Callithrix jacchus: one gene and its partners. The protein of the gene in region 1 interacts with the protein of each later gene in a pairwise test. Links are inferred from orthologs where the notes say so. Each region holds a gene or a part of one and is shown in the gene's direction. Other genes may lie near its edges. The genes, in order: SRPK2, SNIP1, U2AF2, RNPS1 and ZSCAN9.

What was found.
Region 2: the proteins of SRPK2 (region 1) and SNIP1 interact in binary tests that used the Homo sapiens proteins (3 or more experiments, as listed by UniProt). The link is inferred for Callithrix jacchus from reciprocal best matches to the Homo sapiens genes SRPK2 and SNIP1.
Region 3: the proteins of SRPK2 (region 1) and U2AF2 interact in binary tests that used the Homo sapiens proteins (3 or more experiments, as listed by UniProt). The link is inferred for Callithrix jacchus from reciprocal best matches to the Homo sapiens genes SRPK2 and U2AF2.
Region 4: the proteins of SRPK2 (region 1) and RNPS1 interact in binary tests that used the Homo sapiens proteins (3 or more experiments, as listed by UniProt). The link is inferred for Callithrix jacchus from reciprocal best matches to the Homo sapiens genes SRPK2 and RNPS1.
Region 5: the proteins of SRPK2 (region 1) and ZSCAN9 interact in binary tests that used the Homo sapiens proteins (3 or more experiments, as listed by UniProt). The two-hybrid records come from large-scale screens. The link is inferred for Callithrix jacchus from reciprocal best matches to the Homo sapiens genes SRPK2 and ZSCAN9.

What each region holds. Positions count from the first base shown.
Region 1 is NC_133512.1:75,522,103-75,525,614, reverse strand, and holds part of SRPK2 (SRSF protein kinase 2), read left to right. Parts: intron 1-38; coding exon 39-521; intron 522-3,512. UniProt on the Homo sapiens protein: Serine/arginine-rich protein-specific kinase which specifically phosphorylates its substrates at serine residues located in regions rich in arginine/serine dipeptides, known as RS domains and is involved in the phosphorylation of SR splicing factors and the regulation of splicing.
Region 2 is NC_133508.1:74,105,687-74,109,789, reverse strand, and holds the start of SNIP1 (smad nuclear-interacting protein 1), read left to right. Parts: upstream 1-1,301; 5' UTR 1,302-1,365; coding exon 1,366-1,589; intron 1,590-2,802; coding exon 2,803-2,905; intron 2,906-4,103. UniProt on the Homo sapiens protein: Required for pre-mRNA splicing as component of the spliceosome. As a component of the minor spliceosome, involved in the splicing of U12-type introns in pre-mRNAs. Down-regulates NF-kappa-B signaling by competing with RELA for CREBBP/EP300 binding.
Region 3 is NC_133523.1:48,525,311-48,528,822, forward strand, and holds part of U2AF2 (splicing factor U2AF 65 kDa subunit), read left to right. Parts: intron 1-161; coding exon 162-265; intron 266-643; coding exon 644-795; intron 796-2,069; coding exon 2,070-2,186; intron 2,187-3,007; coding exon 3,008-3,146; intron 3,147-3,512. UniProt on the Homo sapiens protein: Plays a role in pre-mRNA splicing and 3'-end processing. By recruiting PRPF19 and the PRP19C/Prp19 complex/NTC/Nineteen complex to the RNA polymerase II C-terminal domain (CTD), and thereby pre-mRNA, may couple transcription to splicing.
Region 4 is NC_133513.1:4,501,446-4,505,720, forward strand, and holds the start of RNPS1 (RNA-binding protein with serine-rich domain 1), read left to right. Parts: upstream 1-1,468; 5' UTR 1,469-1,526; coding exon of another isoform or gene 1,527-1,528; exon of another isoform or gene 1,529-4,109; intron 4,110-4,275. Other genes in the region: uncharacterized protein LOC144578542, read left to right, coding at 190-1,377. UniProt on the Homo sapiens protein: Part of pre- and post-splicing multiprotein mRNP complexes. Auxiliary component of the splicing-dependent multiprotein exon junction complex (EJC) deposited at splice junction on mRNAs.
Region 5 is NC_133505.1:2,889,507-2,893,595, reverse strand, and holds the start of ZSCAN9 (zinc finger and SCAN domain-containing protein 9), read left to right. Parts: upstream 1-1,282; 5' UTR 1,283-1,435; coding exon 1,436-1,640; intron 1,641-3,367; coding exon 3,368-3,858; intron 3,859-4,040; coding exon 4,041-4,089. UniProt on the Homo sapiens protein: May be involved in transcriptional regulation.

The sequences.
Region 1 (3,512 bases):
GTAACAAGTTCTAATTCTTGACCCATCAACTTCTTAAGGTGAAGCCGAGGACCAGGAAGAGAAAGAAGACACTGAGAAAGAAAACATTGAAAAAGATGATGATGATGTAGATCAGGAACTTGCAAACATAGACCCTACGTGGATAGAATCACCTAAAACCAATGGCCATATTGAGAATGGCCCGTTCTTATTGGAGCAGCAACTGGACGATGAAGAGGATGATGAAGAAGATTGCCCAAATCCTGAGGAATATAATCTTGATGAGCCAAATGCAGAAAGTGATTACACATATAGCAGCTCCTATGAACAATTCAATGGTGAATTGCCAAATGGACGGCATAAAATTCCCGAGTCACAGTTTCCAGAGTTTTCCACCTCATTGTTCTCTGGATCCTTAGAACCTGTGGCCTGCGGTTCTGTGCTTTCTGAGGGATCACCACTTACTGAGCAAGAGGAAAGCAGTCCTTCCCATGACAGAAGCAGGACGGTTTCAGCCTCCAGTACTGGGGATTTGCCAAAAGGTAAGTGTTCTTCTCATCAGCTGTCTGCCATCACTGACTCCCGGGGTGTGCCTTTAACAAATGCTATGAAGGAATTGGCTGAAAGTGACCAACCCCTATATGCTTGCACTAATCATTTTTATTACTTTTATACTCAGGAACAAGTAATGTGATTTAAATGTACATTCTGTGCCACTAGGCTATCTCTCGCTCTCTGATACCAAATCTTATTTCTGACCAGTTGTCATTTTTAATATATTCAGTCAGCAGCATCATTTGCAGAAACCTTCCAGTTTTAGCAACTTACACCTGTAGCTTTCTAGAATGTGTAGTATAATTTGTATCTTGCATCTGTTATGATTGTATTTCGTTTTTGTTTTGTTTTTCTATTCAAGAAAAGTATGCCTGCTCTTTGGCTCTGTTGGGAAAGAAGTGTCATATTGTCTTTTCATAGTTGTTCCTGATTATAGGACCCTGTTATTGATAACCCACCCAGGATTGTGAATTTCAAGGAATTGGCATGGATTTAAATGTGATGACAGATGATAGATTGGCTCTTGTGTTCTTGTCTACCTAAGAAGCCTTGACTTATTTAGACCCTTATTTTGGGAGTGAATGCCAAGTGACTCTGGTGTGTGAAAACTGGGTAACTCAGTTGGTTTCCATTCTGGCTCAAGGTGGGAAAGCTCTGAAACCTCCTGGGCTCCCTCTACTGTCAAGACTGTTTAACACACAGTGAGTAATTGATGAGCCACCCCTGCCAACAGTCCAAGACATTCTGCAGCCCCTTGGTTCCAGCAGGCTGGAATTGCACGATAAGGAGTGAGCTGGCTTTGTTAAGAACTGGCTATGATGAATCCTCCTAAGGATGTGTTTTCTTCACTTGGCTGGACGTGGTCAGCTCCTATTCCCCTTTATAGGGAGTGTTTGAAGGTGCTTACATAGAGTGTAGGTTAATTTCTGAGAAAGGGCAGTAGTGAGATGTACCTTATCCAGATTTATTGTTGCTGTTGCAGTTAAATTTTTCTCTTAGTGAAAGTTTTTATTTTTTTGAGATAGAGTCTTGGTCTGTCGCCCAGGCTGGAGTGCAGTGGTGGGATCTCGGCTCACTGCAACCTCTGTCTCCACGGTTCAAGCGATTTTCCTGTCTCATCCTCCTGAGTAGCTGGGACTAAAGGCATGTGCCACCACATCTGGCCAATTTTTGCATTTTTAGTGGAGACAGGGTTTCACCATGTTGGCCAGGCAGGTCTCGAACTCCTGACCTCACGATCTGCCTATCTCAACCTCCCAAAATGCTAGGATTACAGCTGTGAGCCACAAGTTTCATATAGAAAGTAATTTACAAACTTCCTTTCCTCCCTCCCTCCCTTCCTTCTCCTTCTTTCCTTCCTTTGTTTTCTTTCATCCTGTCCTGTCCTTTTCCTTACCCTTTCCTCTTCCTCTTCCTCTTCCCCTTCCTTCCTTCCTTTTTCCTTTTCCCTTTCCTTTTCCTTTTCTTCTTTTCTTTCTCTCTGTGCCCCTCCTTCCCTCCTTCCTTCCTTTCCTTTCTTCCCTCCCTCCCTCCCTCTCTCCTTCTTTCTCCTTTCATTTTCCTTTTCCCCTCCCCTCCCTTTTTTCTTTCCTTTTTCTTTCTCTCTCTCCCTTCCCTCCCTCCCCTATCCTCTCCCCTCACCTCCCTGTCTCCTTCCTTCCTTCCCTCCCTCCTTTCCTTCTTCCTTCCTTTTCTCCCTCCCTTCCCCACCCCCAACCCCCCACCCCCCACTCTGATGCCCAAGCTGGAGTACAGTGATGCAATCTCGGCTCACTGCAACCTCCACCTCCTGGACTTAAGCAATTCTTCTGCCTCAGTTTCCTGAGTAGCTGGGATTACAGGCGCCTGCCACCATGACCAACTAATTTTTGTATTTTTAGTAGAGACAGGACTTCACCATGTTGCCCAGGCTGGTCTCGAATGCCTGACCTTAGGTGATCCATGTGCCTCAGCCTCCCAAAGTTAATGGTATTACAGGCATGAGCCACCATGATCAGCCCACAGTACGTTTTTTATTCTTACTTATTTTGCAAGTCTTAGCTTGGGCTGGAGTGGCTTCAAGTACAGTCAGCCTTCCACATCCATGGGTTTTACATCTGTGCATTTCACATCTGTGTGTTCAGCCAACCTCAGTTGGGAAATAGTTGGAGCAGAAAAAAAACCCGTGTCTGTTTTGAACATATACACACTTTTCTCCCTTGTCATTATTCCCTAAACAACACATTAAAGCAATTACTTATGTACCATTTACATTGTAGCAGGTACTATAAATAACTAGAGATCAACTGAAGTATATAGGAAGATGTATGTAGGTTATATGCAAAGACTACACCATTTTATATCAGAGCTTGAGCATCTGTGGATTTTGGTATTCTCAGGGTTTCCTGGAACCAGTCCCCTTGCAGACACTGAGAGGCACCTGCATACCAGATTAAATCCCAGCTCAAAACTTAGTAACTGTGGAATTTTGGTTTCTTGTCCTTTCTGAGCCTTGATTTATTCCTCAATCAAAGGAAAGAAATAGCTAACTCTTGGGTTGTTAATAGCACTGAATTAAATAAAACAGGTAAATGGAAAGGGTAGATAAATAACATGTAATATATTGAAAAACCATAATACAACTTTCCCTGCCAACCTGCTAAACATGCTGTATTTCTTATACTTGTTACCACTGTTTCTTGTTGCTCCAGTAAGAAACTTGATGACCATGATGTTTCCTTTTTTTCTCTCACATCCAGTAAATCATCGCATTTTACCAGTTGTACCTCCTAAGTAGGGGACCCCATGCCTTGGCCCTTAGTGGGCACTGTTATTGCTTGTCTGTGCTGTTACAGAGGCTCCTTACTGGTCTCTTGGCTTTGTGTTGTCTCCAGCTTTTCTCCCCACCTGCTTTTCAGCCTGCCTTTCCATGGTGCTACTGGAATATCTTTGCAGTATGCTCATCCAATCAGTGCATTCCCCTGCTCACAGTTTCCACA
Region 2 (4,103 bases), on another chromosome or scaffold:
GGAATTACAGGCTGCTGCCACTGTACTTAGCTGTAAATAGCTCTTTTGACAGTATAAGGGTCTCTGGTCAGGTGTGATTACATTATTGGGAGGAGAAGAAAGAAACAATTATTCCTTTTGGTAGTCTGGATATTAGACAGATAAAGTCCTGTGCTTTGGGAGAGACGGTGGATTCAAGGAAGGAACATCGAGGCTTCTTCAGTTCAGCAAGTCAATGTGCCTTATTTTGGGGTTTCAGTTTCTGAGCCCCAACAGCATTGCAGAAAGTTTATTAAACAGAAGAGGAAACGCTAATGATTTGACCATGGGTTCTCATCTCTGATTGCATTTCCATTTCTTTCTCCCTTCTATTTCCAAATGTAAATGTAATTACAGTTTGTGCACAATTTTGTATCCTGCTTTATCGTTAACATGTTTTAGAGTTTGTAAATGGTTTACTAATGGCCACATAACACCCATTAATTTGGCTAACTTCCCTATTGCTGAGCATTTACATTGTTTTCACGTTTTGTAATTACTAATAACGTGGCAACAAACAGCCTTGAGAAGTTTGCTTTTTTCCAGGTTTTTTTTTTTTTTTTGTGATGTCTCTGTCACCCAGGCTGAAGTGCTGTGGTGCAATCCCCGCACGCTGCAACCTACGCCTCCTGGGTTCAAGCGATTCTCTTGCCTCAGCCTCCTAAATAGCTGGGATTATAGGTTTGCACCACCATACCAGGCTAATTTTTGTATTTTTAGTAGAGACAGGGTTTCACCGTGTTGGCCAGGCTGGTCTCGAACCCCCGACCTCAAGTGATCCGCCTGCCTCAGCCTACGAAAGTGCTGGCGTGAGCCACCACGCCCAGCCCTGCTCTTTTTTTTTTTTTTTTTTGAGACGGTTTCGTTCTTGTAGCCCAGACTGGAGTGCGGTGACGCAATCAGCTCACTGCAACTGCAACCTCCGCCTCCCGGGTGCATGCGATTCTCCTGCCTCAGCCTCCCGAGTAGCTGGGATTACAGGCGCACGCCCCCATGCCCAGCTAATTGTTTTGTATCATTAGTAGAGACGGGGTTTCACCGTGTTGGCGAGGATGCTCGCCTGACCTCAGGTGATCCGCCAGCCTCGGCCTCCCAAAGTGCTGGGATTACAGACGTGAGCCCCCGCGCCAGGCCAGAAGTTTGTTTTTGAAACCCGAAACTCCTGCCACCAAACCTAGTCACTGACCACGCTCACTGGGGAGTCGTCACCTGTTTAATCTCTCTGCCGCGAAGATATATGGGAACCGGGGCACCCCGGAAGCGGAAATCCAGGAGTCAAACACGTCATTTCCTTCAGCTAGAGGAGCTCAACGGATCTGTTTTCTTTCGCTCAGGCAAAATCACAGAATGAAGGCGGTGAAGAGCGAACGGGAGCGAGGGAGCCGGCGAAGACACCGGGACGTGGATGTGGTGCTGCCGGCGACGGTGGTGGTGAAGCAGGAGCGTCTCAGCCCGGAAGCCGCCCCTCCCGCCCACCGTCGTCCGGACCACTCCGGCGGTAGCCCTTCCCCGCCGGCCAGCGAGCCGAGCCGCCCGGGCCACCGCGGGAACCGAGCCCGAGGAGTTAGCCGGTAAGTGGGGGAGCAGCCCAGGATGGACCTAGGGTTGGGCTCATTCAGAAAGGCGGGCAGGGCTAGCGTCCGAAACGGGTTTTGAATGCTGGGCGCAGCTAGCCCGGACCTAATCCAGAGGCGGTTGAGAGTGATCCAGTCGTGCCTGTGTTATGCTTGCTCAGTCACTTGCATGATAGCTCGGTGTTCAACGCCTAATGCCTAACTGGCAGGATCCCGTCCCTCCATTCTTGTGTCCCCAGCACTTTGCAAAGTGTGGCTCAGCAGGTAGCACAGATAATCTGTTAAATTGGAATGAGATTCTCCTCATCCCGAATGGAGGAATGGAGTGCGGGCGTTGTCTTTACAATTACCTGCCCAAAAAGTTTTCACGTCGACAGAAACTAAAAAAAAAAGTTCACATAGATTTATGCGTTCCTTCAGCGTAGTTTTACTGAGTGCCTGTTAAGTGTTAAAAGACTGCCCTAGGTTTTGGGGCTGCAAGGGTGATTCAGTTAGATGGTCTTCACCGTTTCCAAATCTAGCCCTGAGACAGACAATAACAAGAAATAAATAAAGTGGGTTTCAGTTAGTAACAAGTATTATTGACAGGTTAAAACAGTACTGTGATAGTGAGAGATTGGAGAGAAGAGGGAGGAGGCCTCTAAAGAGGTGCCATTTGAACTGCGACCTGACTGATAGGAATGATCCAGCCTCTGAAAGATCCAGGCAGAGGAAACAACATGTGCAAAGCACTTGAAGTAGAATGAATCATGATTGAAATGGGAAAAAGCCAGTGTCAGTGGAGTATAGTGGTCAAGCAGGTGGGTGGTAGGAATGAGATGGTATAGGCAGGAAGCAGAACCACAGGATGGATAAATTGTTATTGATGGTAGGGGTGTTGGTAGTGAGGGGTAAAGAGTCAAAGGTGACTTCTGGATGGTGATGCCAATTAACAAGATGGCAAAGAGTAGGAGAGGAAAGGTTTTTGAAGGCTTGGGAACTAAGAGCTATGTTATCTAAGTGAGAAGGTTCAGTAGAGAGTTGTCTTTGTGAGTGTGGAATGCGAGGGAGATGTTAGGGCTAGGAAAGTGAACCTCGTGACTATAATGTGTCTGTCAGAGACCTTCACAAATGTGGTGTTTGTGTTAGTATGTAAGCCTGATACTGGAAGCTAATTTTTATGGGGGAAGGGAAATTGAGTAAAATCCTGTATGTACCATGCTTTGTATAGGTCCCCACCCAAAAAGAAAAACAAGTCCTCAGGGAGAAGAAGCAAGTCTCCTCGGAGTAAGAGGACCCGAAGTCCTCACCACTCAACAGTCAAAGTGAAGCAGGTAAGTGGATTGGGGTGTTTTGATGTTGGGGCCACATAGAGAGCCTTTTCCTATCATAGCTAGAGAGGGCTGTGTATGTGTGTTGTGTGTGTGTGTGCACGCACACTCGCCTACATTTCTACTTGTACTTCCAATGGGCTTTTCTGAAAATTGGGTATATTTCTTTTTTTCTGCTTGTTTGCTGAAATTCACCTTTTTATTTTGAGATTATTGTTGGTTCACATGCAGTTGTCAGAAATAATTCAGAGAGATATACTCTGCCTGGTTTCTCCCAGTGGTAACATCTATTCATAACAGAACTGTGGTACAGCATCACCATCAGAATATTGACATCAGTATAGTCAAGATAACATTTCCTTCACCACAAGGAATACCTCCTGTTCTCCTTTTGTAGCCACACCCACTCATCTCCCACCTTTATCATTCTTTAACTTCTGGCAACTTCTAATCTGTTCTTCATTTCTGTAATGTTTTCATTTCAAGAATATTACATAAATGGAATCATACAATGTGTAACCTAATTTAGGATTGTCTTTTTTTCACTCAGCAGAATCCTTCAGAGATTGATTCAGGTTGCATCTCTCAGTAGTTTGTTCCATTTTATTTCTGAGTGATATCCAATAGCATGGATTTAGCCACTCACTCATTAAAGAACATCTGGCTTGTTTCCATTTTTTGGCTATTACACATAAAGCTGCTATATAGACATTTGTGTATAGGATTATATGCGAACATAAGAGTTCATTTCTCTGGGATAAATGCTCAGAAGTGCAATTGCTGGATTGTATGGTAGTTGCAGGTTTAATTTTTTTAAGCAATTACCAGACTGTTTTCCAGAGTGGCTGTATTAGTTTACTAGGGCCACCATAATGAAATGCCATAGAGTACGTGGTTTAAACAACAGAAATTCATTTTCTTGTAATTCTGGAGGCTAGAAGTCAAAGATGAGGATGTTAGCAGGTCTGGATTCTCCTGAAAAACATCCTCTCTCCTTGGCTTGTAGATGGCTACCTTTTTACTACATCTTCACATGATCTTTCTCCTGTCCTGGTGTCTTTTCTCAGCCATATTGAATTAGGGCCCTACGCTCATTTTAACTTAATCAGCTCTGTAAAGACCTCATCTCCAAATACGGCTATTAATACATTCTGAGGTACTTGCGTTTGGTACTTCAACAAGCTAATTTTGGAGGGCACAA
Region 3 (3,512 bases), on another chromosome or scaffold:
ACCCCTTCCCCAGGCCCTGTCCCGGATCCTCTCCTTCCCTGGAGAGAGTGCAGCTTACATGGTGGGGGGGAGGGTGAAAGGGCACCTGGGAGGGGCTCTGAGGCCCACTGTTGGTCAGACTGAGGTTACCCTGCCCCCCTCTCCCCTCCCACCTCCCCCAGTCGTTCCCCCCGTCATGAGAAGAAGAAGAAGGTCCGTAAATACTGGGATGTGCCCCCACCAGGCTTCGAGCACATCACCCCGATGCAGTACAAGGCCATGCAAGGTAGGTCTGAGGCCGGGCTGCTCCCAGAGCTGGAGGGTGCAGGCGGGGTTCTCTGCAGGCTGCCTTGTGTGTGCGCGTGGGGCGCTGTGCAGCCTGGGGTTTCTGGCTGGCCTCTGCCCTTTTGAAGCCTCCCTAGAGGAGGAGATGACCAGACACCCATGGTTGATGCGAATGAGACCTCCATCTGGACGCCATTGGGAAACTAGGCTTTGCATGAGCAGCAGTTACTGACTGGGGGCCCCGAGGGTGGGGAGAGGGTTCTAGAGGCTGAGAGCCTGTAGGAGCTTTCTGCTGAGGGGGGAGCTCCTGGTGTGCAGTGTGGGTGGTCACTGAGTGTTCCCCTGATGGGGTTTTATCCTGTTTTTACCCCCTTTCAAGCCGCGGGCCAGATTCCAGCCACTGCTCTTCTCCCCACCATGACCCCTGACGGTCTGGCTGTGACCCCAACGCCGGTGCCCGTGGTCGGGAGCCAGATGACCAGACAGGCCCGGCGCCTCTACGTCGGCAACATCCCCTTTGGCATTACTGAGGTACTGCCCTCCCCCTGCCCCACCCTCTCCCTTGTTCCCTCCCCACTCCTCCCCTTCCCTCCATTCCCTCTCCCCAACCTGCACGGGTCAGACTCTGCTCCTGCAAGACCCCCCGGCCCCCTCCCAGACGGACGGATGGAGTTGAGCCAGCCAGGGGCCGGGCTGGGGGTGGCCCTCCCTCCCTCCTCTTCCCCTCTCCCGTCTCCCCTCCCCCCAACCTCCTCCAGCAACCCAGGGATCAAGCACACACATAATGTACCCACGTGTTGTACCTACGTGTCGGAGAGAGACAGAGAGGGAGACTTGGACACACACACACACACACACACACACACACAGACGCACGCTGCCCCTCAGTTTTTTTCTGACACGCCTCTCGTTCTCTGCCGCCTGTCCCCCATCCTCTCCCCATGTCCCTCCCATGGTCGCTGTTCTTTTATTTTTGATCGCCCCTGACCTCCCCCCTTCCCCACCACTCCTTTTCCCTATCCCTCTCCCCCACCCCTTCCTGTGGCACCCCCTGAGAATCCCGAGATCAAAGAGTTGTTTCCATTTCTCTTTAAAGTGAAATATTGTGGGGCTGAGATCCCTCGTAGCAACAAAAAGTTTGCTACCATCGTTGAAGGCAAGTAAGGTCCATTCTGACTTTCTCAACCTGCACTTTGCTACATTTGATAAACCAGCCCCCGGACTCCAGGGCCAGATTCCTCCACATCACTCTTTTCTCCTCCCCTCCCGCCCTGCCCCTCCTCCCCACACTCCTCCTCTCCCGCCCCTGCACTCTGACCTCCTCCTTGCTCGTCTCCGTCCTGCTCTTCTTTCTGTCCTTGCTCGTCTCTGCCCCTGCCTGCTGCTTCCTTTCTACTTTCCTCCACTCTTCCGTCTGTCTCCACTGGGTGTCCCTTCCTGTGTGCTGTCTCCATCTCTGTTCATGTTTTTCTTCATTTTGCGTTGTCATCATTCCTTCTGCCTTTTCTCGAACAATCTTCTTTTCCCTGGTTTTTCGGGGCCCCTGTGGCTCTCCCCCAACGCCTGTCCACCGCCTGCCCTTGGCCGTCTCTTGTTGCTGCTTCCTCCCCATTTCTCTCTCGCTTCTGTTCCTACTATTGACTTCTACACCCCCACCCATAATCCACTGTTCCTTCCCCGACTCCTCCCTCCCCTCATCCCTCTCCCCTTGCCCCCAAACCCCTCTGTGTCTCCCTCTCTCACCCTTCCCCTCCTCTCTCCACCTCCCTTCCCCCGCCCCCCCCTGTCTCCTATTCCCTCTGCAGGAGGCCATGATGGATTTCTTCAACGCCCAGATGCGCCTCGGGGGGCTGACGCAGGCCCCCGGCAACCCGGTCTTGGCTGTGCAGATTAACCAGGACAAGAATTTTGCCTTTTTGGAGGTGAGCAGGGGGAGCGAGTGGGGTCAAGGCAATGTGTGTGATTGGAGGGCCTGTCCCTCAGGCCTGAGGTGTGGCAAGCTGCCTTGCGCTGTTTCCACCGGACCCTCTGCAGTCCGCTCTCTACCTGGTTGCCAAAGTGAGCCCTGTAATAGCTCTGTAGATCCGATCCTACTGTCTGCCTCCCCTTTGCTTTCTGTGTGACTTGAGAGGCCTGCCTGGCCACACCGACCTTCCCAGAACATACCACGCACCTGCCCACTTGGCTGGAGGTACTTACCCCAGCTAACTGATGTTACTAACTAGTCCTGCATGTCAGTGTTTCTCAAGTGTCTGGAAAAGGGCCATGGTTTTTGATCGACCACTCTTGGTGGACTGATTCTCTGGTGAAATACTGTGAAGGGCATTGGTAGCTTGCTGCAGAGGTTTCCCAGCGCTTCCTCTCGCTCTGTACTCGCCTCGCTGAGGTCCTCTTTCAGGTGCACTGCTCCGGGTATCGGCTGAAACGTCTCCTCACCAGAAAGACTCCAGTACTGTCACCTCCCCACAGCATCCACTTTCAGCCCTTTGCCCCTCCCTCCTCATCACAGCCTGCAATTGTGTGTTTGCCTCTGTGTGTGTTGGGTGCCTGGTGTCTAACTGTGGAGTGTGAACTCCTGGCATCGGGGACGTGCATGTCTGTCGTCCTCCCAGTGCCTGGCCCGGGGCCTGATAAGTTGCATTTGTTGACATGAGTGAAAGGAAAGAAGAAATCCTGATCCTGGAGTATGTGGGGCTGTGCTAGCCCCTTGCCCTCATCCCTCACCACTGCTTTCTCTCTGCAGTTCCGCTCAGTGGACGAGACTACCCAGGCTATGGCCTTTGATGGCATCATCTTCCAGGGCCAGTCGCTAAAGATCCGCAGGCCTCATGACTACCAGCCGCTTCCTGGCATGTCAGAGAACCCCTCCGTCTATGTGCCTGGTGAGTGGGGGATCCATTAAGGGCCCCCATCTCCCTCAACCCTCTTCCCCTGGCCCATCCTTCACTTCAGCCCAGCTGGAGTGGCGTAGGGAGTCATGTAAGTACTGGAACACAGGTTTCTTTGACCTGCTTCCTCCATGTCTCTGTGAGTGGGGTGCTCTCTGCTAATAGAGGAGGTGTCTGGGGCCAGGACGGTAAACTTTGACTTCCTTGAGGACACACAGCTTGTACGTGGCAGTGCCAGGACAGACCAAAGGTGCTGGGGAAGTGAGGGGCTTGTGGCCTGGACCTCTTCCTGGTCTGCGGCTGTGGGACTTCAGAGGGCTCAGTCTGCACGTCGGGGCGGGTGTGCCATCAGCAGTTGTC
Region 4 (4,275 bases), on another chromosome or scaffold:
CACCCAAACCAGACTGGGCCTGCCAACCTCCACCCACAGGAACACACTGGTGACTTAGTGCCGTGGACCCAGGAGGTGACTCCTCCCCCCAGCGGCCTTTGTCCCCAAGTCCTCGGACATCCCTTAGCCCAGGGTGAAGGGTCAAGGGCACACCTGACCCTTGGACAGGGCCAGAGGGAGTGGGTCTAGCCAGGAAGTCAGCAGGAACTAGCGTCCCACACAGGAAGGAGGGCAGTGATAGCAGACCCCGTCCTGGCTGTCTGTCCATCCATCCGCCCACTCACTCCAGGTCGCCCAGCTGCACCCAGCCCCTTTGCTCCGACATCGAAAGTCTCCAAGTCATGCCGGTTCTCTCCTCCCAAAGATCTGCTTGGATCTGTTCCCTTCTCCCATCCTTGCTGCCACGAAGCTGTTCAAAGTCCGAAGCTGAGCGCACCGTCAACCCCTCCACAAACAATCACAGGGCAACGACTGCCCGCCAGGCGCAGCAGTGAACACAACCTGCCCTCTCCGTCTGGGGCGCCAGTGCGGAGCCTCCCGCCTGTGTCTGGGCCTGCGCCCCTACGGCGTCACCCTCTCCCATGTCCCAGCCAGAGGCGCCGCCACCTCTGGGCTCTCCCTGCCGGGACCCCGCACCCGCAGCTGAATGAAGCCTCGGCGCTGCGCCGTTCACACGCTCCGTGCTGCCGCCGCGAAGCTCGCGCGGAACCTTCCCCGCTTCCAGAGAACCTCGGCCCCTGCTGTTACCCCGTCACACGCACCGTTCCTCTCGGGTCTCCGCGGCAGGGCCACCACCCCCAGACGCCCCCCTGTGCACCCCATCTCCTACCCTCAAACTCGTCGCTCCTCCTGCCCACACTGCCCAGCTGCCGCGCCCACCCGGCGGAGCTCCACCTGCGTGGAGGCCGCGTCCACGCGGGCACCCCAAACGCCACCGGTAGGTCTGGAGCACGCGAACGCACGCCCGGCCCCGGCCCATCTCTCCGAGCTGCCTCCACCCTGCGGGTCCCCACGTCGCGCCAAGCAAAGCCGCAGAGCCCGCGCGCCTTTCTTGTACGACTACCCCGCCGCCGCCGCCGCGCGGCCGGGCCCGGGGCCCAGCGTCCGGTGTCGGGGGCCGGAGGAGGCCTAGGCGGGCCCAGAGCACCCGCGCAAGGAAAGGGACTGGGCACGGCCGCGTTAACCCCCTCCGCGCCAGACGACGAGCCTCGGTCATCGCGCGGCCCTACCAGCCTCAGCAGGCTACCCCTGTGCCCGCTGCAGCAAGCGTGCAACCGGCCCGGCCAGTCACAGACTCCTCCGGCCGGGACACACCGCCGGCGGGGAGACACCGCGAGCGCTCCAACGCGGCTCACACACGCCGCCTTGACTCTCTGAACACTTCACCGCTCGCGCCCATTGGCCCAGGCATTTACGTCATCGCTGCGCGCCGGACGGCAGCGTCTTCCCGCTCCTTAACTCTGACGTCAGAGCGGAGCCGGCTTGAGCGGCTGAGAAAGGCAGGAGGAGGTGTCGGCGGCGGGAAGATGTAAGTGGGGCGGAATCCGACCGCATCCGAGCTTTAGGGGTTGCCAGTCAGGCCCGGCAGGAAGCATCGTGAAGCTGGTCCACTCCCCAGCCCCGCAGTGCGGCGGCAGCATGGCGGCGCGGTGCGGACTCTAAAAAGAAAGAGTGTAGCCCGGGGTGGGCGGGGTGGGAGGTGTCGTGGCCGTGGCCCGGAAGTGGTCGGGGCCGCGGCGGACGGAAGGGCGCCTCTGCTTCGTCCGTTCGGCGGCGGCCCAGCCAGGCCCGTGGGACTCTGAGCAGCGGGGAGCGCGGCTTCCGCCCTTGGGGCCCTCCTGCCGTGCCGGAGACCCAGGCCCCCAACGCCAGGCCCTGCCCTAGAAGCGCTCGCGGCCCGGCGCCTGGACAAGGGAGTTGTGAGTGAACGCGGACGGGGAGCGGCGAGGTCGGCGTGTCGGGCCGGTGCCGGCGGGCGCGGAGTTTCTTTGTGGGATACAGTGGAAGGCTGGCCGATCCCCCCATCGGAGGCATTGATTCAAACATGCACTCCGCGAACGTTTCCCGGGCTCCCGTGTGCAGTTCTCGGCGCTAGGCCTGGGGGATGTGGCCCGCTATGGACCGAGCACGGTGGCCTGGCCCCGTTTGATGGGTTAACCCCGGAGGGGTGGATACGGGAAGGTTAAGGTTGCTGGAGGAGAAACGTGGAGTAGGCTTTTTGTCTTGATTTCGCATGAACTGTGCCTGAAATGTACTTTTAAATGGGGAAGGCGCTCTGAAGATTTGTGCCGAAACGCCCTCTCCTCGAGATTTAACTAACTGTTCTCTCCTCTCTCTGGCTGTTGGACGCGCACCTTTCCGGAGGATGGGGGAGGTAACCGAGGTCCTGAGCCGGTACCTGAACTTGTGTGAACAGAGAACCTCAACCTTTGCTTTCTAGCATTCGACCGCACCCAGCAAAGCGTCCGCTTTCTCAGTGGTTCTTAGAGTGCTTAAGAACGGTGCTCCTTGATCTCACGAAGCGAATCAAAGTAGCGGTGTTTGATTTCACAGAGTACATTTGGGCAGATCTTTAGGACTAGGGGGTGGGGCTGGAATATGCGGGTGTGACCTGCACTCTAGATCTGTGCTGTCCAGTGAGGTAGCCATTGGCCCCACGTGGCTACTGAGCATGTTGAAATACAGCAGCTAATCAAAACTGAGATGTTAAAACACACCCCAAATTTAGAAGACTTACTCTGAACAACAACAAAAAAAGAAACCTTTAGATTTTTATGTTGATTATTTGATGGAAAAGTATTTTGGATTTGTGTCAAATGTTAATTAATTTCACCCATTTTTGTGACGTGGCTACTAAGGAATTTGAGATTCTGCTTGTGGCTCCTCACACTATTTCTGTTGGACAGTGCTGCTGCAGATGATCCTAAGGTGGGTGGGTGCGGGAGCCCTGCAGAGAGTTCAGAAATTACGTGGGACTTTGGAGACAAGTGTCTGGGGGGGGGGAAGGAGCCTCTGGACGTGAAGATAAAACCCTTGCTTCTCACATGTATTGAGCCTTTGATTAATGCCCTGCATAACTGTAAGGTTGGAACTGTAGTTGTCTCCATATTGATGATGAGAAACTTGAAAAACGATAAGTGACCTGTTCAAAATTGCACAGTAAAACTTCAAATCAAACCCAGGCCTCCTGGCTCCAGACTGGGAATTATACTCTGATACTCACTGTTTGTCCAAGGACACCAGCCATACCGGGCACTGCCTGCTGGGTGTCTGCAGAACATCACTGTTCTGAGGCAAAACACTATGCCCTGGACAAGAGCAGCAAAGGTGATGTTCGGCCCTCCATGACTCATTTGACAGCTCAAAGCCAGGTGCTCTTCTTTCTTGGTCAGAACACGTTTTCAGCACTGGCATTTCTGCATGGGGAAACCAGAACCCCATTAGTGTGCTGTGCCCTGCTTACGTACAGGCTGTTGGTTGGAGAAGGTGAGACAGAAGTAGCTGAGACTCACATCCTGAGAGCTTTACTTAAAAACTCATGCAGCTTGTGCAGACCTGGCTGGAAATACTGAAGGCAGCAGTCCCTCTGAAATAGAGCCCATAGCTTATTAGCAGTTTGTTTTGAGTAATTTGTTACCATTATTTGAGCACACGCTGCAGTCCAGGCGTTTTGCTAAACTTAAACGTAGGTAGTCTTACGTGGTAGGTAGTCTCTCCCGAAACCTCAGTGCCTACTTTTTTTCTTCAACATCTTATTTTTGAAAAGTTTAAGCACATAGGAAGGTTGAATTATACAGTTAATGCCCACAAAAACCACTTGAGGGCTGGGAGCGGTGGCTTATGCCTGTAATTACAGCACTTTTGGGAGGCCAAGGTGGGCTGATCACGAAGTTAGGAGTTTGAGACCAGGCTGGCCAGTATGGTGAAACCCTGTCTCTACTAAAAACACAAAAATTAGCCAGGCGTGGTGGCACACACCTTTAGTCCCAGCTACTCAGGAAGCTGAGGCAGAAGAATCACCTACACCCAGGAGACAGAGGTTGCAGTGAGCTGAGATCGTGCCAGTGTACTCCAGCCTGGTGACTCCGTCTCGAAAAAAACCCTTAAAAGTTTGTTACATTTCTGCTTTATTTGAAGTAAATTGCACACTTGCATGTGTTTTCCCTACACACTCAGTATGCATATTCCTAAAGTACAGTGTTTGCAATCACTGCTTTTTAAATGTCCATGCGGTACATTTTATCTGTTTGCATTTGGGTGTTAAGTGTTTTGATG
Region 5 (4,089 bases), on another chromosome or scaffold:
AGGTTGTAGCCGAGGCCTTCCAATGAAGGGCGGCTTCTCCAGGAGGAGGCGGTTGGCAGCACCTCCAAATACCTGGGCCAGGTAGAAGCTGCTGCGGTTGCCGGTGACAGCCCCACTGCCTCCAAAGTGGGCTGCGGTGCCACTGCCCTGGCCATTGGCGCCATCAGAGAAGAAACTGGGCGAGCCACCACCTTCGTACGTGAACTCCTGGGCATTGGGCAAGAGCTGGGACTGCGGGGCCGGGTGGGCCGGGATGAAGCGGGGTGGAGGCAGAGACTGGGAGAGGCCGCCGTGGTGGCCGCCGGCCGCCTTCCCCGCCCCACGCTCCTTCTTCTAGGCGGAGTCCACGGAGAGGGTGATGGATGCGCGGGGCAGGGGATGGAGGTGGGCTGGGCGATTGGCCAAAGCATGGCGGGGGAGCTGGACCGGGCGCTGCCCTGGCTTCCAATGGGCGCGAGCCCTGCCGTCGGGGCTGGAACTGCCGTTGACCTCCCCGTCCAGCTCGGGGCCCGCAGCCCCCGCCGCCACCCAGGTCCGGCACCTCCGCGGCTCCCTCCTCCCAGCCCGGCAGGACGCCCGAGGGGTGAGCGCGGACGCCCGGGTCCCCGGGCACTCGGCCACGGACAGTCCGCTCGGCGCCGGCCCCCGGCCCGCCGTCTCCGGTGTGCACGCCGGGGCCCTGCGGTGCTTCGTCAGGGCGCCAGGGGCCCCCGTATTTCCTCCAGAGGCGCCAGAGCAGCTGCTCGTACCAGCAGAAGGTGACGGCGTTCAGGGCTCCGTGGATCTGCGGCTGCGCGGTCCTTTCCCAGGCGGAGAATCAGCCCCGGCGCGGGCTCCGCGGGGCTCCGCGGGGCTCCGGCTCTCCCGGCGGCCTCTCGCTCCAGAGCGGCCCTGAGCTCCGGGGAAGGCCGCTCTTCCTCCCCCGGTGGATGGCGACCCGGGCCCGGCATCGCTACCGGGGACAGTGGCTGCCTTAGGGACTGGGACTAAGGAGGGGTGGGGGGTCTGACATTTTAATAATTTGGGTATTGACTGAGGGGTTTTTCAAACCATAGAAAGGCATTCATTTTAGAAATGCTTTACATCCGCGTTTTCAATACTTAACGGCCTATGCTTCATCAACGTTTTCCGCTTAAAACCCGCGTGCGGCCCCACACTTAAGACCCTCTGATTCTGTGATTCGCGCCAAGGAAGACCTGGACGCCAGGAAAATGGGGGTGGAGCCAGAGGTGACGTGGACGCCGGAGGCGGGACATCGAGACGCGGAGGCCTAGACCGGCCCGGAAGTGCGTCTGGCAGGTCCGCGCTCCAGGAGGGGTCGGCGTCTTTCCCGCCAGGCCATTGTTCGTGCGGAGCTCCTAGCAACGCCGGACCGGTAACCCCCGCTCGCTCCTCGCGCCTTCCGGGTCTCGTGAGTTGGCCGTGGGGACCGGGAATGGAGGCGGGTCGCGGAACGTGGCGCTGGGAAAGGGGTATCGAAAGTGAACTTCAGCCTCCGGGAAGTGGGAGCCGGAGGAGGGGGCGGCGGTTAGTGTCGCGCGGCTTCGGGGGTTCCCTCGTCCATAATGGTCGTCCCCGACTGTGGGGACGTTACACGAGAGAGGGTTATGGGAGGACGGCGAGGCTGAAAGGTCACTTCCGTGAGTAACGACCACAGGATTAGAACTCGGGGAAGAAAGTCTCGGGAGAGGAAGTTAAGGATTACTAGGGCTTTGGGAGTCCGCAAGATGGAGAGCCCTGGGCCGGGCGTGGTGGCTCACGCCTGTAATCCCAGCACTTTGGGAGGCCGAGGCGGGTGGATCACGAGGGCAAGAGATCGAGACTATCCTGGTCAACATGGTGAAACCCCGTCTCTACTAAAAATACAAAAAATTAGCTGGGCATGGTGGTGCGTGCCTGTAATCCCAGCTACTCAGGAGGCTGAGGCAGGAGAATTGCCTGAGCCCAGGAGGCGGAGGTTGCGGTGAGCCGAGATCGCGCCATTGCACTCCAGCCTGGGCAACAAGGCTCAAAAAAAAAAAAAAGAAAGGAAAAGATGGAGAGCCCTGTATACCCTCTCACCTCTAGATTCTAAAAGCAACTTGAGGGGCGTTGAATGGACTGGTTTTCAAGTGCAGAATGTAACAGTTCCTCATTCCCTTTTCCTCAATTCCTTGATTCTCAAACTTTACAATACGTACAGATCACTGAGGCGCCTGTGAAAGGTGGATGTTCTAGGGCTCGCTGCACTTCTCTCCACGCCCAGTTCGGATTCCCCGGACGTCTGCCATAGGGCCTGTCAGGCTGGGATCCCCCGGCTGCGCGGTCTGCTTCCTGACGTTTTGGAGGCACCCATTTTAGAAACATCCCCTGGGTTTCAGGAGCTGCCTGGGTCTGAGGAGAAAACTTCTCCCTTGGGCTTCTTTGGCTTCTTAAGATTATCCTCACAAAGAAGTTGACCTTGGGCAGTCTACTTACCTTTCCCTGGCTTCCATCTCTTATCTAGTGAAATAATTACCATAATAAAACCTGAGTGGGTAATTGTGAGGATTAAATACGGTCTTGCACCTGAAAGCATATTGTAGACTGGTGCAGTGTTGACTGTTACTCTTCAGTAGCACCAGGGCAGTGTGGAAAGCTCACAGGACAGTCCACCTAAGCCTTTCTTTCTGTAAATTTAGTGAAAGCAATGCCAACTTTAAATGGTTGTTTTGAAGATTAAGAACACTGAAGTAAATAGTAAGGTAAATGTTGGCGCATTCATTTAGTCAACAATAACAACATTCCCATTTATTCTTTCTCTAATTTGATGTTTATACAGTGAGTTCAGACTTTTTATTCAGCCTTTCTGAGTTACCTGTGCAGTCCCTAATTCATGGGCTGTTTTCCTCCGTAAACTCTGTAAGGTATTATTGCTATTTATTTTTCACATAAACCAAGATTGAAGGATGATTTAAAAACTTGGCAGAAGGTCACACAATTAGTAAATGTTAGGATCAGAATAAAACCTAGGTCTGGGCCAGGCGTGGTGGCAGACACCTGTAATCCCAGCAGTTCGGGAGCACTTTGGGAGGCCAAGGTGGGAGGATCGCTTAAACCCACGAGTTTGAGGTTGCAGTGAGCTATGATTATGCCACTACACTCCAGCCTGGGAAACAGAGTGAAATTCCCCATCTTTAGAAAAAGAAAGAAAACCCACATCTGGGTAACTTGAAAGCCTATGCTTTTTGCACATTATGAATGTATATAGTACCATTATTTCCATCCTTTGGTTACTATGCCACTTTTCAGTGAAGAGCTTTAGGGTCTGTGATAATTGCTTATATTACCAGTTTCTGTCATCAGCTATTGCCATTTTTCTGTATAAATAATTATTTTTACTGCTTAGGCAGGCACCTCTGGTGTGTCTTGAAGCATAGCTCCAGCTGGAGGGTACCTTTTAAGCTGTTCAAGGTCAAGATGAATACAAACTCAAAGGAGGTTTTATCCCTGGGTATTCAAGTTCCTGAGGCATGGGAAGAACTTCTGACAATGAAAGTGGAAGCAAAAAGTCACTTCCAAAGGCAGGAATCCAGGCTGAAACGCAGTAATCCACTAGCAAGGGAAATCTTCCGAAGGCACTTCCGACAGCTGTGTTACCAAGAGACCCCTGGACCAAGGGAGGCTCTTACCCGACTCCAGGAACTTTGCTACCAGTGGTTGAGGCCACATGTGAGCACAAAGGAGCAGATTTTGGATCTGCTGGTGCTGGAGCAGTTTCTGTCCATCCTGCCCAAGGAGCTCCAGGGCTGGGTGAGGGAACACTGTCCAGAGAGTGGAGAGGAGGCTGTGATTTTGCTGGAGGACCTGGAGAGAGAGCTCGATGAACCACAGCATGAGGTAGGAAGGGACATTTGCTGGAGAAAAGGGTCTACTTTGAGATGCCAAGCATCCTTGTATCTGCTTTGTATCTCCTTGATGTTGGTAATAAAATACCTTCTTCCTGTGTTCTTCTTTCTTGGAAGTGTTTATTTCAGACAGTTAATTTCTTCAAAAGTCAAATCTCGTCTTTTTGTCCCCAGATGGTAGCCCACAGACACAGACAAGAAGTCCTCTCTAAAGAGATGGTGC